Chlamydomonas reinhardtii: one gene and its partner. The protein of the gene in region 2 interacts with the protein of the main gene of each other region in a pairwise test. Links are inferred from orthologs where the notes say so. Each region holds a gene or a part of one and is shown on either strand. Other genes may lie near its edges. The genes, in order: CHLRE_01g030150v5 and CHLRE_01g023150v5.

The links.
Region 1: the proteins of CHLRE_01g023150v5 (region 2) and CHLRE_01g030150v5 interact in binary tests that used the Arabidopsis thaliana proteins (3 or more experiments, as listed by UniProt). The link is inferred for Chlamydomonas reinhardtii from reciprocal best matches to the Arabidopsis thaliana genes MCM5 and ETG1.

The regions. Positions count from the first base shown.
Region 1 is NC_057004.1:4,442,013-4,450,637, reverse strand, and holds CHLRE_01g030150v5 (uncharacterized protein), read left to right. Parts: upstream 1-3,195; 5' UTR 3,196-3,342; coding exon 3,343-3,486; intron 3,487-3,584; coding exon 3,585-3,653; intron 3,654-3,766; coding exon 3,767-4,579; intron 4,580-4,783; coding exon 4,784-4,903; intron 4,904-5,124; coding exon 5,125-5,289; intron 5,290-5,505; coding exon 5,506-5,819; intron 5,820-6,035; coding exon 6,036-6,275; intron 6,276-6,424; coding exon 6,425-6,569; intron 6,570-6,848; coding exon 6,849-6,952; intron 6,953-7,222; coding exon 7,223-7,673; intron 7,674-7,799; coding exon 7,800-7,913; 3' UTR 7,914-8,468; downstream 8,469-8,625. Other genes in the region: CHLRE_01g030200v5 (uncharacterized protein), read left to right, coding at 31-193, 259-440, 595-752, 885-995, 1,242-1,401, 1,621-1,713. UniProt on the Arabidopsis thaliana protein: Associated component of the MCM complex that acts as a regulator of DNA replication. Binds to the MCM complex during late S phase and may act by promoting the disassembly of the MCM complex from chromatin. Required for sister chromatid cohesion.
Region 2 is NC_057004.1:3,591,206-3,599,360, reverse strand, and holds the start of CHLRE_01g023150v5 (uncharacterized protein), read left to right. Parts: upstream 1-3,245; 5' UTR 3,246-3,466; coding exon 3,467-3,482; intron 3,483-3,553; coding exon 3,554-3,716; intron 3,717-3,955; coding exon 3,956-4,070; intron 4,071-4,376; coding exon 4,377-4,460; intron 4,461-4,711; coding exon 4,712-4,837; intron 4,838-5,038; coding exon 5,039-5,254; intron 5,255-5,562; coding exon 5,563-5,691; intron 5,692-5,967; coding exon 5,968-6,071; intron 6,072-6,314; coding exon 6,315-6,459; intron 6,460-6,633; coding exon 6,634-6,804; intron 6,805-6,992; coding exon 6,993-7,112; intron 7,113-7,330; coding exon 7,331-7,516; intron 7,517-7,690; coding exon 7,691-7,945; intron 7,946-8,146; coding exon 8,147-8,155. Other genes in the region: CHLRE_01g023200v5 (uncharacterized protein), read right to left, coding at 57-258, 528-820, 1,026-1,121, 1,340-1,410, 1,598-1,781, 1,949-1,961, 2,354-2,436. UniProt on the Arabidopsis thaliana protein: Probable component of the MCM2-7 complex (MCM complex) that may function as a DNA helicase and which is essential to undergo a single round of replication initiation and elongation per cell cycle in eukaryotic cells.

The DNA of each region.
Region 1 (8,625 bases), about 850 kb from region 2:
CCTGAATGCCCAACGCTTTCGTCTTTACAGGAGCAGGAGCGCAGGACTCTGCGCGTTAACGTTGCATGCATGTCGCGCGCTGGTCGCGAGCCGGGTTTCAAGAAGACCAACCAGGACAATTGCTTTGCTTTTGAGAAGTACATCACCGAGGACCAGTCTCTGTTCGGTGCTATGGATGGTCACGGGCCACACGGTAAGGAGGCACTGGTATTGAGGTATTGTTCGCCAAGCAACGCAGCATGCCCTCGATGTTTGCAGGGCACCTGGTGTCTGGCTACGTCAAGCAGCACCTGCCGATAATACTCGTTAACCACCTAACGTTGGAAAAGGACGTGAAGAAGGCGCTGTCTCAGGGCTTCTGCGAGGTGGACCGGTCCTTGGGCAATAGCAGGATAGACTGCGAGTTCAGCGGCAGCACGGCCGTGGTCAGCTACCTGAAGGTGCGCGCGGGCATGTGATGGGGTCAGGGCTGTAGGTAAAGCAGTTTTGAAGGGTTTTTGAGGGCGTATAGCTACCGGGTGTGCGGCTGGGGTTGCGTTCAGCGGTCACTGACCACGACTGGCGCTGACCTGATCATATTGTCCCAACCTACAGGGCAAGACCCTGACGACAGCGTGGGTGGGTGACTCTCGTGGCGTGATGGGCCGCGAGACAAAGAAGGGCTGGGAGGCGGTGGACCTTACCAACGACCACAAACCCACGGCGCCGGAGGAGAAGGCGCGGATTCTCAAAGCGAACGGCCGTGTGGAGCGGTAAGCTAATCTCTAGTACAAGGACTGGCGGAGGTTATCCTTGTGCTCTTTATAATGAATCCCGCATGAAGCATGCGTAGGTGGGCAGCGGCCAACCATGTTAACATCACGGCCCTTCCCGCGCTGGTACAGGCTGGTGGACGAGATGGGCCAGCCCATGGGCCCCTACCGCGTGTGGCTGCAGTACGCGTGGATTCCGGGCCTGGCCATGAGCAGGGCGCTTGGTGATGTCCTGGCACACCAGTGAGTCCCGGGGCAAGTGGTCAATGCTCGATACCTGTTCTGTGCGTCACCGCTTTCCTGCCATGCATGGTTAGGAGGATGTAAAAGTTGCCCTTGCCTTGCGGGAGTGATTAGACGGTTGTTAGGTGCTAGAATGTGCCCGGTTCTATGAGTATACCACATGCCAAGACGGCAGGATTGGTGCACAGGACGTGCCCTGTTGGGAAGGTGTTAATGCAGGGTGTGTGGAACTCTTTTGACTCACAGGGTGGGTGTGACGTCGGAGCCGGACCACTCGACCATGGAGCTGACGCCGCAGGACAAGTTCATTGTACTTGCCTCGGACGGTGTTTGGGAGTTCATCTCGAGCAAGGAGGCGGTCGACATCGTGGCGCAGTACGAGAGCGCAGAGGAGGCGTGCCGCCAGGTGCGCAAGCGTGACCATGGTCGTGTCGCTGAAGTTAGTGCTGCGTTATGGTCTCAACCCAGGATAGAGATATTAACAATCTGGAACAAGACTTGTGGAAGCGCGTGGCGCGGTCCGGAGGACGGCGCCAGCTCCACTTCAAAAGGGGTTGCCAGCTGTCGCCATCGTATGATCTGCGACTGACTCTGCCCCTGTTCTGCCCTGTCCATGCCGCTACAGTTGGTGGACGAGGCCTACCAGCGATGGCTGACGGAGGAGGAGGGCGTAGTGGACGACATCACCGCCGTCGTGGTGCGCTTCGTCCACCCATAGTCAGGCCACGGGCGGGGAGCACGTGCGGCATGGCTCCCGCTGCCCCACACATGACGTATGGGGTAGCGTAGCTGCATGGACAGCCGAAGCAATGTGCCGCATGCAGGCGGCAATAAGGGTACGCACTGTGTGACTGGTATAATGCGCGCGTGGTAACAGACTAATCATGACGCGGGTGGCGCATGTAGTTCTGGTGCATACGCGGGTCCACCTCGGGTAATAAAGCGTGGCTCGACGAAGGACCGAAGTTGGCTACCTGGCAAACATGTCGTGTGTGTGGCTGTGCGAAAATCCAAAACACCTGCTGGTGCATGAACGCTCAGCGTGACGTGGGTGGAATTGGCAGGGTGAATCGGTGGGAGGGCACTAGTGGGGCCTTAGGGCGCATTGCGTGTTACGCCACCGCCTCGCATGCTAAAGGTTGGCTTTTGGCTGCAATCGCTTTGACAAGAAGTGACGCAATGCACATGGGTGCGCGCGTGTAGCCTGGTATGTGTAATGGGTATTTCCGTGCGTTATTGCCATCTCTCATGCCGCGGTTAGGGTTCGGGAGTTCGTATTGTTGCCTGGCCACTCCTGGCCTGGCTGTTTGTTTGTGATTGTACAGAACAGGAGCGCATAATGGATGCTGACTGGCACCAAAGGCCAAGCGGACGGATCAGATCCGTGCGGCGTGATATGAGGTAGATTGCTGAGGTGGATTCCGAATGCAAGACGGAATTTGTGTGCAAAGCCTGTGCGTGTCCGTGACTCCGTCACTCGATGGCTAGGGCAAGGGGGGTTGTAAATACCAGCCCAAATGAACAAAATCCTCTGGCCGCAACACTCCTCACTCCTACGGCCTACCGCATACTGTGCTATGCTTGCCAGCAAAGACCGCTAACCAGACACCGGCCGGCCTCAACCTGCGCGCCGGCGCCGCTTCTTGGGCGACGCCGTGCTGTCCTCCTCCACGTGGCCTTGCTCGCCCCATGTGCTCGCTCCCTCCGCTACGCACATGCACGCCGCAACTGGTGGCATTAGTTCCGCAACACTCGTCATTATTGGTGGCCCAGGGCAGGGGAACCCCTGGCCCAGGGCAAGCAGGCACAACCAGGGCAAGCGCACTTGGGACTTAAGCATACCCACATTATGTAGCCTGGTGTACATGCAAGCATTTCATGAGCATGCCGGCATGCCCTGTCTATGTAAAGACGGACCTGTCTATTTCAGGCGGCGCCGGCGGTGGTGGTGGTGAAGGAGGTGAAGGTGGACCTGTGTGACTAGGCCAAGGTCAGCATCGAGGCCGTGTTCAAGAACGGCCTGCGCGTCACCGATGGTGGGTTGGGCGGGTGCATGGTGTGCAAGCGACGTGTGGCTGGGCGCACGGCTGGGCGCTGGCGGCAGCAAAGGCGGAGACTGGCGGAGAAGCCTCCGGGACGGGAAAGGCTTGTTGGCATATTTGCATGCATATCCTTTTAAATTGTTTGACATGTATCTGCATATTAATTTATTACCAGCCGGGACTCCCAGCTGTTCACGATTTCACTTCCCAATCGCGTTTTGGCGCGAAGCCCCTCCTGTTAGTCCCACTCTCCTCCAGGTGCTTACACACTCAAATGCGCCTTGTCTTCGTCATCAATTAGGCAAATGACAAGTCCAGAGATAGCAGTGCGTCCTGTAGAGGCGATTCAGAAGCTCTACCAGCAAGCAGGCTGCCCCGCTGAGGCCGATGGTGACTGGGGCGTGGTAAAGTACTTCCAGGAAGCCGTCAATGGGCTGGGTCACGGCGAGGTGGGTTGAAAGTGCCCACCAAAACAACGCAAAAGACATGCGAGCTCCCTACGCGCCTAGGCTCGCTTATTCCAACGGCTCGAACTCACATCTTACAGATTCCGCGTCTTGACAAGCAATCGGCGGACCGCCTCCCCCACCACAGCCTCGTGCGCTTCACCGGCATGGTGAGCAGTTTTGGCGGGGTTCTGCAGTGGCAACTTCCTGGCGATTACCTTACGAGGGCAGAAAGGCATCTACGTTTGAGAAAATTACAAACAGCTTACTTACCCATCCGCAGGTGCAAGACTTGCTGAACCCAGAGTACTACGTCGGGGCCTTCCAGCAGCCGAGTGGGCAGTGGGTCACCTCGAAGTTCTGTGACCCGGACATGCCTGATGACGCGCCCCAATCCGCCTCGCCCATCATTTGGGAGCGCCGCCCGGTCGTGTTGGTGCCAGTCCCGGGCCTCAGCAGCTGGTCCCTTTCCGCGCTGCCGGCGGTGCCGGCCAAGGACGTACACGCGCCTGCTGCGATGGCCAACACCACCACGCTGGTGGCTCAGGCCCAGCCCCAGCAAGCTCAGCAGCAGCAGGCCCAACAGCAGCCCGCCCGTGCCAAACGTGAGCGTTCCTCTGATGCCGACGCGCAGCACGACAGCGTCGCAGCTGAGCTGCGCGTCGCTAGCACCGGTGGTGCGGCGGTGCTGTCTCCGCGCGCCGGCGCCAATGCCGCTGCGGCAGCTGCCGACGCTGCGGCTCCCGGCGCGGATGCGGGTGAGGAGAGCATGAGTCACGACACGGGGCTCAGTGAGGACCAGGGACCGGGCGGGGCCACTGCAGGCGCCGGGTCGCCGGGTGAGGCGGAGGGCGCTGCGCGCCCTCGTGTGCGCCGGCGGGAGGACCCTACTGCCGCGAGGGTTGTTGGCGACATCGAGGCCGCAAACGACCGCGGCGCACCTTTCCCCGGGACGTCGGCTCCCGCGGGCCCCGCGGGGACAGGCTGTGACACCTGCGCTGGCGGGCACGGTTGCGCGCAGCACCCGGCCGGTGCGAATGCGGGGGCACAGCAGGCGGCGACGCCAAGCGAGGTGCCCGGCAGCTGCATCGTGTATGTGAGTTACTTGCCGAGCAAAGCTTGAATATGTCAGTGATAGCAACCGCACTTTGCCGATGCGAGAGCAAGTTTGTGACTCATGTGGGACTGCGTGCTCCAATGCAACACACAGTGCAAGCAGTACCAGTCAAGCCGTACCCCTCCCGGCCAGCATCACTTTGTAAACCCCCACGCTTCCCGCCCTACCCTACCTCACCTGCAGCTGTACGACAACGCGCCTGCGCTGCCACTGCACGAGGTGGTTGAGGTGGTGGGCGTGCTGAGCCACGTGCCGCAGCTGGCGCAGCTCGAGTACGACAACCAGGACCCTCACCTGGCGCAGGTGGGTTCCCGGGGCTTGGCGTAGGGCTTTCAGTTGGGCTAGGGCTTTGGCTTGGCTTTGGCTGGGCCTTAGTGAGGCCTGCGGTTTGCGGGTTGGGGGCTCAGCGACGCCCCGCGTACCATACTCCAGGCTCCTGGTGGAGCGCGGTTGGTGATGAACGTGCATCCAGACTGCAGCCACGCCGTCACTGATGATGAGATACACGCCGCATGCCTCTGCAGGAGCTGGCGTCTCTGGGTCTCGGCAGCGAAGGCGTCGGCCGCAGCGTCAGCGGCACCGGGGGCGATGCTGCCATGGGCGAGGCGGCCGACCGGGGCGTGCTGGCGGCACAGGGCGAGCGATTGGCGTTTGAGGCTATTCGGGCCGCCCACCCGCCCACCAGCAAGGTTGGTCTGCGGCAGGCAGCGCGCTTGTTTGCACGCCCACTTACTTGGACCCTGTCCGCTTGGGCGCCTCACCTGCGGTCTTCACGATCAGCAATGAAAGAGCGCTTTTTACCACCATAGCTTGTGACGGGGTCCAAGTGTGACGGGGACCAAGCGCAGGTGACGGCTAACCCGGTCCGCCCGCCTTGCGTTCCTGCTGCCAATGCCGCCACGCAGGTGATGCGGCTGCACGCAATCCTGGTGCGCCGCCAGCCCAACCTGGTTCCGGCTGCCACCACCGCCGCCGCTGCCTTAGCCTCAGCCGCCGCTGCGCTTGCACCTGCCGCAGCCGCCGAGGCTGCCGCCGCCACGACGCCTGCCGCCGGCAGCGCTGACACGGCGGCGCGGCGGGCGCGCGCTTTGGCGCTGCTGCGCTGGGCTCTGGGCGGCGACAGCCTGGCTGCCGAGTACGTGCTGCTGCAGCTGCTGTCGCGCGTGGTCAACCGCGGCGACCCCAACGCATTGGGGCAGCTGGCGCTCAACATCAGCAGGTGGGCGGGTGGTTGGGCGCCGTCGGAGAGCTGCAATGTGCACTTTTCCGGGGTGGGGCGAGGAGAGGCACGTATTAGGGTAGCGGGGGCAGTGCATGGGGGCAAACTCGGCAAAGAGGATAGGCAAAGCCGGGCGTATAGGTGTGGGAAATGGACGGGAATGTCAGGGTACTGCGCCGACACGACACGGGTCCCGGATGTAACCTTGCGTTGCAGGTGCCCTGGCGCCGTCACCAGCGCCACTAGCGCCGCCAGTGCCAGTGCGCCGCCCGCCACCGCTGCCAGTGCTGTTGGCTCGGCAGTGGCGGCGGCGGCGGCGCACAGCTCCCCCGCGCTGGCGGCTGACCTGCTGGCGGGCCGCGGCGTGAGCGGCTTCGCGGCGGCGCTGCAGGCGGCTGTGTCGTGCATGGTGCCGCTCAGTGTGGCGCTGCCGCTCAGCGTGGAGGGCTGCAACAGGTGGGAAGCGGCTCGGCAGGGCCTGGGAGGGCCGGAGGGGCGTTCACATGAGAAGCAACTGCGATGCTGTATGAGCGCGGAGGAGAGGGACATGGCCTTGATGTTGACATTCACCCTCAAACAACGGACCCTACGCCCCTTCCGCGCAGCCTGTCCTGGTCGCCAGTGCGCGACGTGTCCCGTGAGCGCACCGCGCCCTCGCCGCTGCAGCTGGCTCCGGGCACTGTGCTGCTGCTGGATGAGACCGTCATGGCGCCTGGCCAGCTGAGCAGCCAGGGCGTGGTCAGCATGCAGGTGGGCAACAGTGGGGCGGTGAGAGGGGGTACGGGTGTGCAGCAGCGGAGAACGCCTGGACTGGGGTTGGGCTTGCGTGCTTCTGGGAAACGTAGTTGTAACACCTTCGCCGCCCCTGCGCCGGCTCCGTGTGCTCTGCCAGCCTGCCCTGCCCTGCCCGCTGTTGCTTCGTACCAAGCGCTGCATTGCCCGAAGACTACTCTGTACGCGCCCCGCACACCATTACGTCCACATCACCCTTCGGCGCTGCCCTTCCTCACCTGCCTCACCTACCCCCAGGCGCTGATGACGCTAGCTCGGCAGCAGGAGCTGCTGTACGACTTCGAAACCTTCCAGCACCCCGTGCCGCTGGACCTGCCGCTCATCGTGCTCACGCAGGGCAGGTGCGGGACCAGGACCAGCTGTGTCCCCGGACTCCCAGCGCAGTCGTGGGGCAATGGCGGTGTGGGGCGCAGCAGGGGGGCGATGGCTTGGCGATTTGGTTGCAGCATGGCCGTATCAAGCTGTCGAGGTGTTAGCCTGTGGTTGCTGGGAGGGAAGCTGCGAGGTGTGGGGTGTTGGCCCGTCACCCAGCACCACCTGCAAGGTTCAACAGTTCCACGGTGGTTGCACCATGCTGACCGAGCTCTTGCGCCACCACCCATCCTGTGCAGGTCGCTGCTGCGCGACTGCTTGCCGCTGCGGCTGCCGCTCACCGCCACGCAACCCTTCCCCTCCGCCGAGGCCGTGCTGGCCTCCGGCGGCCGCCCGCCCGCCGCCGCCAGCCCCGCCACCAGCCCGCCGTCCAGCTTCGGTGGCGCAGCAATCGAGCCCGCCGCGACCCCCGTGGCGACTGCCAACGTGTCCATGGGTGACGGCGCTGCCACCGCTTCGGCGGCGGCGGCGGCTGACGTGGATCTGGCGGCGGTACGGTCGTACCTGGCGGCGGCGCGTGCCGAGCAGGGGTATGAGCTGGCGGAGGGCATGGCGCAGGTGCTGGAGCAGTGGTTCGTGGGCCAGCGCCGCGCGGCGCAGGCGCATCAGCAGGGGCAGGGGCCGCAGCAGGGGCAGGGTGGCGCGGCGGATGGCGGCATGACTCCGGAGGAGTTCCATCTAAAGCTCACGGTGAGAGGGTGATTAGTAATGGGTGTCTGCCGCGGTAATCCGGTCTCTGTTAGGCAATGAAACCCGCCCGCGGCCTTGCGCCGGTCCTGACCCCGTGTCGCCCCCGTCGCCCATGGCCCTGCACAGCTGGCGCGGCTGCTGGTGTTGAGCCACGGCGAGACGCGGCTGACGCGCGAGCGCTGGCAGCAGCTGCTGCAGTTGGAGCACACACGGGAGGCACGGCTGCGGGTGGTGGGCTGAGGCAAGAAGTCCGAGCCCTCCCGCTTCTACATTCACATCGAACCCCATGCAAGCGACATGGGGACAGTTTGAGCGGCTGCAGCGGCCGCAACTGATGCGCGAGACTGTACGAGAGCATGCCAGCTGGTGTCAACACGCCAACCCGTTATGGTGTAACCTGGGGATGGAGCTCGGTGGAAGCTATCTGTGGAAGAAGCAGGTGTGGCAGGGGCGAGTGGCAGGGTTGAAGTCCTACCGTATCACAGTGTCTGGTAGCTGGGAGCACGGGCAGGAGGCAAGCAGGATGTTGTTGGGGCACACGAGGTACGGTGAGCCAGGCGTCAGACGCACGCTCGGAGTCGCGATAGGTGCGTTAATCGTCAGTGCTTGGCGTTGGATTGCGTCACGGCAGCGTGTCAAGCCGGGGAACCCGGTCTGAAGCTGTTGCAGTGAACCGGGGGCGGGAAAATTGGGGAATTGGGTCTGGATACGGTAGTCTGACCAAGAATTTGTCAGCCATTTTCCGCGCATCGTCCACGCTCATAACGACTGCATAGCTTGTAAATGTCTACATGCTGAACTGAAATGGCTGCATAGTCGGGAGCGGGCCGGGGTTCCGATCCATTCGGGGCACAAAACGACGGGCACGACACACAATCTTGCCTTGTTAGCCAAGATGTGTTGCTGTAAACCGATACAGCACTACTTATATCCTTCCAGGCTTGTAGCGCTA
Region 2 (8,155 bases):
ATTGGGGTTGCATCGATTGCAGTATTCATTACTACCACCCGCACAGTAGCAGGCTCTCATAACTTATTATAACCACGCCCCCCAAAGCTTGCGGCGCCTCGCGCGCCAAAGCTTTTCCCGCCGCCCCCTGCTCCGCCACCGTTGGCTCCACCTCCTGCAACGCCCAGCGCGCCTTCCTGCGCCTTGGCTTCACAGTCTGACCGCACGAAGTCGGCCGTGAGTATGGACTGGAAGAACATGCCGAACACCCACATGAACCTGCAGAGACCCATGACACACCGTGTCCAGAGGGTATGAGAACGAGCCGCACAACCACAGATGCGTGCATGGGTGTGGTGCTGTGAACGTCACGTTTTCCCGGCATCGCTGGGACCGTCTCAATTCTAACCCCGACGCCACAAACCAGACTTAACTTGCCCGGCCCCCTGATGACCTGGTCCGTGCCCTGTCCCATTCCCCACACCTTATTTCTGCAGTTGGAACAACACCTGCCCCACCCATCCCTTACCCCCCTCCCTCAAACTCACCACAGCCCCACGAACATGCCGGCCGTGGAACTCAGCGCGTTGTTGAGCGCCTCCATGGCGTGTGCGATGGTGAGCGGGTCGCACACACACGCCTGGTCCGGGTCCACCGCCACGATGGGGTAGCTGGCCAGGTTGAGGCAGGTGGAGGGGCAGGTCACGGCGCGCGGCCAGCCGTTGCCGTCCGACACGGCCACGATGAGGTCGCCGCCGGCGGCCGCCAGCGCGGCGGGGTTTATGGACCAGCCAGTGGCGGCGCCGGTCACCCAGGCGCTGTACACACCCGCCATGGCGCCCTGGCGGCAGCGGTGGAGGTGGCGGCAGCGGTGGAGGTGGCGGCAGCGGCACGTCAAGCGGAGGCGGGTATCGGGCAAAGCGCGGGGCAAACAGGGTGGCGCAGGGGCGTCCCGGCGCCGAGGGCGCAGGTGGCGGGCCACAGCCGCTCCCTGGGCGCAGCTGGCTCGTGGACACGTACACAAGCACACACTGCCCCGCCCGCACCTGGTTCTGCTGCACCTTCTCCATGATGCGGTAGGCCACGTAGGCGTCCACCGCGAAGATGCCGCACCCCATCAGCAGCAGCACCAGCCACGCCACCTGCGGGGGAGCGCAAGGGCGGGAGGCACGATGTGGCGCGGGGCCGGTCAGCGACTACCAAGCCTGCGGGCGCCAACTGCAGCGCCGTGCTGCAGCACCCACGGACCACCTCCACGGCCAGGCTTGACTGTGCCGGGACAAAAGCACTTGGCCCCGCAGGCATCCAGCGGGTGCTACTGTCGCAAGAGTCACGCCCCGCCCCGCCCCGCCCCGCCCACCTGGATCCACCATGAGAAGCCCAGCAGCAGCACCACTATGCGGTAGATTTTACCGGTCTTGGCGTCATAGCCTGATGGGTCGAGCGACAAGGAAAGCAGGCGCGTTAGCGGCTCCTCCTTACGACAAGTTTACAACTCCATCTCAAGCATCGGTACACCAAAACATTTCACTACAAGACTACCACAGCAACTGGCGCCATTCCTATCAACCCCCTCTGGATTTCCTGGCCTTCGCAGTCCGCAATGACACGCACGCACCTTCGGTGTCTTGCTTGACCTGGATGATCTTGCGCCACAGGCCCACCAGGAAGTTGAAAAAGGCGAAGAGCATGTACACCGTCGAGGTGGCGATGATGGCCTCGTGCATGCGACCCAGGTCGTGCGCCGTCACGGTGGGGCCTAGGATCTCCAGCGCCCAGGTCACCTGGTTGTACATGTACGCCTGGGGGGCGGAGAGGAGCGTCGGGAAGAGAGCGTGGCCCGGTTGGTGAGGTAGGGGTCGGCGGGTGTGGGTGTGAGTGGGCCCACTGGGATGGGCCCGGTACATCCTGCACCCGGCGCCGCTTTGCTCCAAACTGCCCTGCTGGTCAGCACGCAGCCCGAGCTTACCGTGTAGTGGACCCTGCGTGCGACGGGGTGGAACAACCGGAGGCGGGATACCGAGCATTTCAATTGGCGGCAGGACTGGTAAGCAAGTTGGAGGCATGCGCTTGTAGAACCGCCTATCCCAGCCCCGCCCATGTCCCAATCCTACTTGCTGGTAGCAGCCTATATGGACGCTGCCAAATACGCCCAACGCGCTGGTTAGCGGGGTAGCCCATGTGTTGTTGCCGTGTTTGAGGAGGCGCGCTGCTACCATCCGCGTGGAGGATGGCGCTGGCGGAGTCATTTTCCCGCACACGCGCTTCCAGGCCCCACAGGGTGATATTTGTGTGTCCCGTCCTGCTGGCGGGCATTCTGGTGCCGCGAGTCCTCCCCCGAAACTTCTCTTGTGCAATTCTCTGCCAGACTCACCATATGCCCGTGCCGATGATGCCCATAAGCATACATGTTAAAGGGCCGAAGGGCACGTAGTAAACGACATCGCCCCAAAACATTTTCCAGGCCTGCCCCTAGCTTCCGCTTCCGCTCGGGCGTCACAGTACTACGGGCTATTGCAGTTGAAATTGTGACATTGTAGCTAGTCTACGAGCTGCACAAGAAGTAGAGTGTTTAGAGGAGACACACGAGCGAGTTTGACTGCCTTGAACGGATACGCTTGGCCGCATAAGCTGCTGATGTCATCAAATTGTACCAAAAGCGACTGTTGTCCGTGTGAAAGGCGGCAGATAATCAGCTGGGCAAGACTCGCCACCTGTGCTTGGCACGAACCCAGCTTGACAAGGGGGTTCCCACTATGAGTGCCTGGCATAGAGGCTGCACACGCCAACGCCGGGGATCACTCGCGGCTCCTCCAGCTTTGCGACTTCTCCCCTGCAGGTGCGTGCCCTGGGGTCGGCGGCACTAGTCATCTCCCCTCCCACAACCACGCACAAGGTAAGCAGCCCGGGGACACCGGGCTGCTGGGGGGGGGGGCGACCGCCGTGGCGTACAGCCTGATAGTGTCAGCAAGTAACGGGGAAGCGACGTCGCGCCCTGGAGGAGTGCCTGCCCTGACACTGCACTACACTGGGCATGTCTCACGGGCATGTCTCCGTCGACCACACATATGGTGGACGACGTCGTCGGCCATATATACAGGACGACGTAGTCATTGTATTTGTAGTGGACGACGTCGGGAGTATTTACACAGGACGCCGGCGACGGCCGTAGCACGCTACGTAGCTGTCCGGCCTGAATGCATGCGACGTGATGTCAGCCTGAATGCATTCAACGAGGTGTCCGGCGGCCATGCCTGGAATAAGTAATTCAAATTTAAGCACCTTGGGGTGTGGCAACGCGGTCAATTAAGGCTTCAGCGGCAATCGGCCGGGCCATGGCGGGAAATCGGGCTGCACATCGCTGACATGCCGCTGTATCGGGGAGATGCATACAGTATTGAGACACACACTCATACGCACACTTGTTCTTACCTCCGTGACGCTCCTTACACCTCGCTTTACCAAAACGTATTTGAGTTGACCAAATATGAGCGGCTTTGATGGTGCGCACCTCGCAGCTAGGCTTTTCGGCAGCACATACTGACTGAACACGTATTGCTTCCACGTATCGCAGGCGGTCGGGTGTATGTGAGCTACCAGGGGCAAGAGGCGCCTCGGGACCCAATTGAAGATGGCCCCGGTCTGCCTGACCGCGACATCGTGGAAGGCTTTAAGCAGTTCATCCAATCATATCAAATTGGAACAACCAGGGATGTGCAGGAGCGGCGACTCTACGCGTGAGTGGAGTTCTGCGCGTGCATTTGGCATGCCGCGGTAGCTCGGGAGCCGCGACAGCTCTCGCCAGAGCGCTGCATACAGGGATGCCAGTAGGCACTTGCCAGGCAACGGCCAGCTCATCAGCCGGGGTACAGCGGCTCATAGGGTGGTACATATGAAGGGCTTTGGCCGGCGTTTCCCCGCCCTCCGCCAACCGTTGCTCTCGCACGCCTTCCCCCCTCCCCCAATATGTCCACAGCGATGACCTTTATGAGCACCGCTCACACTTGCACGTGGACCTGAAGGATGTGCGCGCCGCGGCGCCCAAGCTGGCGGACGCGCTGGAGGAGCGGCCGTCGGATGTGCTGCCACTGGTGCGTGGAGGCCTTGACAGTGGAGGCGGGGTGCGCACAGGACAGACTGTGGTGGTGGTGGTGGTGGTGGTGGTGGTGGTGGTGGTGGTGGTGGTAGCGGAGAGCGCGCATTGTTGTTCCGTAAGGGTGCCGCGTCATGGCAGCGTTGCCTTCAGTTTGTAAGAGCTGGGGAGCGATCCGGGGGACCGTTGCGTGGAAAGGGAGAGAGGCCCAAGCTGTGTGCGGGGGCTGGGGGGAGGGGGAGGTAGCCCAGTACTGCCAACTGTCTGCACCTGTACTTGCACCGTGTGTGTGTGTGTGCTGCAGTTTGAGGAGGCTGCCCGCAAGGTGCTTCAAGACAAAATGGCCTCGGACGAGGACGGCAACCCCGCGGACGTGCCGGAGGTGCAGGTGAGGCAGGAGTCTCTTCACAGGGGGGCATGCAACTAGCCAGGGAAGTGGGTGAGGGCCGGGCTACCACCGGGCGGCGGGACAGGGCTGGGCCTGCATGCCGAGACACCACGGACCTGGAGAGGCAACGTACCCTGTCTAGGCAGCCGGTAGTGCCAAGTGCGTCTCTGGTGCCTCGCACCTTTGCCCCGCTCGTCCCGCCAAGTCGCCGCTGTCCACCCTTCCTCCCGCCTTTCCTCGGCCCGCCCCAGGTCCTGCTGTACAGCTCCATCCCGCTGGCCCAGTCCGCCGCCATGTCCATCCGCGACCTGGAGTCCAGCCGTGTGTCCAAGCTGGTGCTGCTCACAGGCATCATCACGGCCTCGTCCAAGCCCAGGGTGAGGCGCCGGGGCTGGAGCAAGCGGCCCGCCAGCGGGGGTGGGGTGGGGGGCCAGGGAAGCGGGGACGGTGATACCGTAAGTAGGCGGGCCAGGGCAACCCTGCGTGGCTGCATGGCTGCCATGCAATACGGTCGCCGCACCCATGCCCAAGCCTGTCCCTCCCTAATATCTATCGGTGCGCCTCCCCTGCCCCTGCAGCACAAGGCCACCTACCTGACGGTGCAGTGCAAGACCTGCCGCGGCACCAAGCGCGTGGCCTGCAGCGACGGCATGGGCGGCGCCTACGTGCCAAGCTACTGCGACCTGGCCAACAGGCGTGCGCCGGGCGCCGGCGGCGAGGACTGCGGCCAGAACCCCTACGTCATCCTGCCCGAGCAGAGCGACTTCGTGGATCAGCAGACGCTCAAGCTGCAGGTGCGGCGGTGCCGGTGGTGATGGGCGTGGTGATGGGGGTGGTGGCGTGGGAGGTGGTGTTGGCGGGGGCCTGGGGTTGTGGGCATTGGCCCGATCGAGCGGTCCCACGTCCTGCGGCCCGTTGGGGTGAGCGGGGGTGGTTGGACGTGGGCGGCTGACGTAAAATGGCGCACGCCAGTGAAGTGGGGTAACGTGGACAGGGCGCGGATGGGGAACGCGTGGCCCAAGAGTGGAGGCTGGAGGATGTTGCATTGGCGCAGCCGCTGACTGGCGCGTCCCCGCGCCCACACGCCCCCTGCCCCCTGCAGGAGAAGCCCGAGGACGTGCCCACCGGCGAGCTGCCGCGCACGGTGATGCTGGTGGCAGACCGCCAGAACTGCGGCGTGGTGACGCCCGGCACACGTGTCACCATTACCGGCATCTACTCAACCTTCAGGGTGGGTGTGGGGCATGGGTGGAGGGACTGGAGTTGGTGGCTGAGGTGGCTCGGAGGGTCGGCGCAGGCGGGGCTGCAGCACCCAGGGAGGACTTGTCAGGCCTGGGGGACCACAATGCACGAGTTGGCATCCGGTGTGGTGCCAACCCCATCCAAACCCACGCTGGCCCCTTGGGCGCCCACCACCTCTTCCCGCACCCAAAACACATGCACATACATGCTGTTAGCCTTAAGAACACGCACGCGAAATCACACCCACACCCCTTACCCCACGCAGGGCAAGGCCATGGACAAGGGCGTGACCACCCTGCAGCAGCCCTACATCCGGGTGGTGTCGGTCATGCAGGAGGCGGGAGACGCCCACAGCCGCTTCAAGTTCACGTGAGTGCGGCTAGGGGCACCGGGGTGCGTGGTGGGGTACCGGTGCGTCGTGCAGGGCCTGGGCCTTCCGTAGGGCGGCATGCGGGACGCAGGTAACGAGTTGCGTTCCAAGCGACGTCTCTGCCGTCCAACTCTCCCCCCCCTGGCAGCCTCGCTTCCCTCCCACCTCCTAGACGCATTACACATGGCTCAACTCGCCAACCCAACCCACCCTACACCGCTATGTAAATACACCCACCGCAGCAAGGAGGAGATCCAGCAGTTTGAGCAGTTCGCCAAGCAGGACGGGCTGCACGAGGAGCTGTTCGCGCGCATCGCGCCCAACATCTACGGCAGCGACGACATCAAGAAGGCCGTGGCCTGCCTGCTGTTTGGCGGCGCGCGTAAGGTGTGTGGGGAAGAAGGGACGGGGGCCGCTTCGCGTACGCAATAGTGAATCCAGGGTGTCAGATGACCCAATGGCAAGGGCTAGATGGGTACCGCAACGTCAGCGCTGCTCATGTTACCCATCTTTATCCCCCCGTCCCGCTGCGCCGCTCTCGCTCCCCGCCTGCGCCCGCAGCAACTGCCCGACGGCACGAACCGCCGCGGCGACATCAACGTGCTGCTGCTGGGTGACCCCTCCACCGCCAAGTCGCAGTTCCTCAAGTACGTCTCCCGCGTGGCGCCCATCGCGGTGTACACCAGCGGCAAGGGCTCGTCGGCGGCCGGTCTGACCGCCACCGTGGTGCAGGTGAGAGACTGGACTGCCGCGTCGGGACATGGGGATTCAGAAAGGTATAACACGGAAAGCTGTACCATGGAATTGTGCAAGGTCTGCTTCTGCTTCTGACTAGCATCCCATGCTAGAATTCCTTGATCTCCACATGCACGAAACGCCCACCACTCCTTCGCCACTCTTGCGCCTTGTTGCTTATACAGGACGCCAACAGCCGCGAATTCTACCTGGAGGGCGGTGCCATGGTGCTGGCGGACAACGGCGTGGTGTGCATCGATGAGTTTGACAAGATGAGGCCGGAGGACCGAGTGGCCATCCACGAGGTGAGCAAGGGGGGCTGGGGCAGGAAACTGGGAACTGGAAGGCGGAGACGGCGACTTGGGGCGCACGTGTGAGGTGTGGTGCTGTCGTGACGGACGTGTGCTCTGCCAACCTCAACAAGCCGCTCACAACTCCAACATGCACATACGGTACCTGTGCACACACTGCACACATGGTGTTGACCCTCCTCCGTCTTTGCACTTTCCAACACCCTCTGTAGGCCATGGAGCAGCAGACCATCTCCATCGCCAAGGCCGGCATCACCACCATGCTGCGCAGCCGCACCTCGGTGCTGGCCGCCGCCAACCCGCCCTCGGGCCGCTACGACGACCTGAAGACGGCGCAGGAGAACATCGACCTGCAGTCCACCATTCTGTCGCGCTTCGACCTCATCTTCATCGTCAAGGTGGGCGGCAGGGTTCACAGCAGGGCTGTGCTGGCATTCTCACGGCCTGGCAGCCGCCGGCTATTGTTGCAGCTATGCTTGCCTTGCAAGCTGAGAGCGCCATGGCTTAACGTCGATTTTCGTGCTGTAACTCCCAAGCACTGACTCAAACGCTCGACCTGGTGCCGCACACAGGACACTCGAGAGCACGACATGGCCATCGCCAAGCACGTGCTGGACAACCACCGCCTGGGCGCCGCAGCCGCGGCCAGCGCGGCCGGCGGCAAGGCCGGCGGCCACGGCGCCGGCGACGGCGACAAGGGCGGCGAGGCTGCTGACGTGGAGTTCCTGAAGCGCTACATCCACTACTGCCGCAGCCAGTGCAGCCCGCGCCTGAACGAGGAGGCCAGCAAGCGCCTGGCGGCCTTCTACGTGGAGATCCGCAACGAGGTGGGTTTTCGGCCTGCGAACTCTGGGGGTTGTGGGGTTGTGGTTGTTGTTACCACAGGACAGTGTGCGCAGCTTGGGCAGCCAGCCTCATACGCCGCCGGTGCAACAACTAAGCCTTGCATCACGTGCATGTGTAGCCAGCTCAACACGACCAACTCAACTCCGCACCCCGTTCCAAACCCGGTCCCGCCCCGCACACAGGCCCGCACA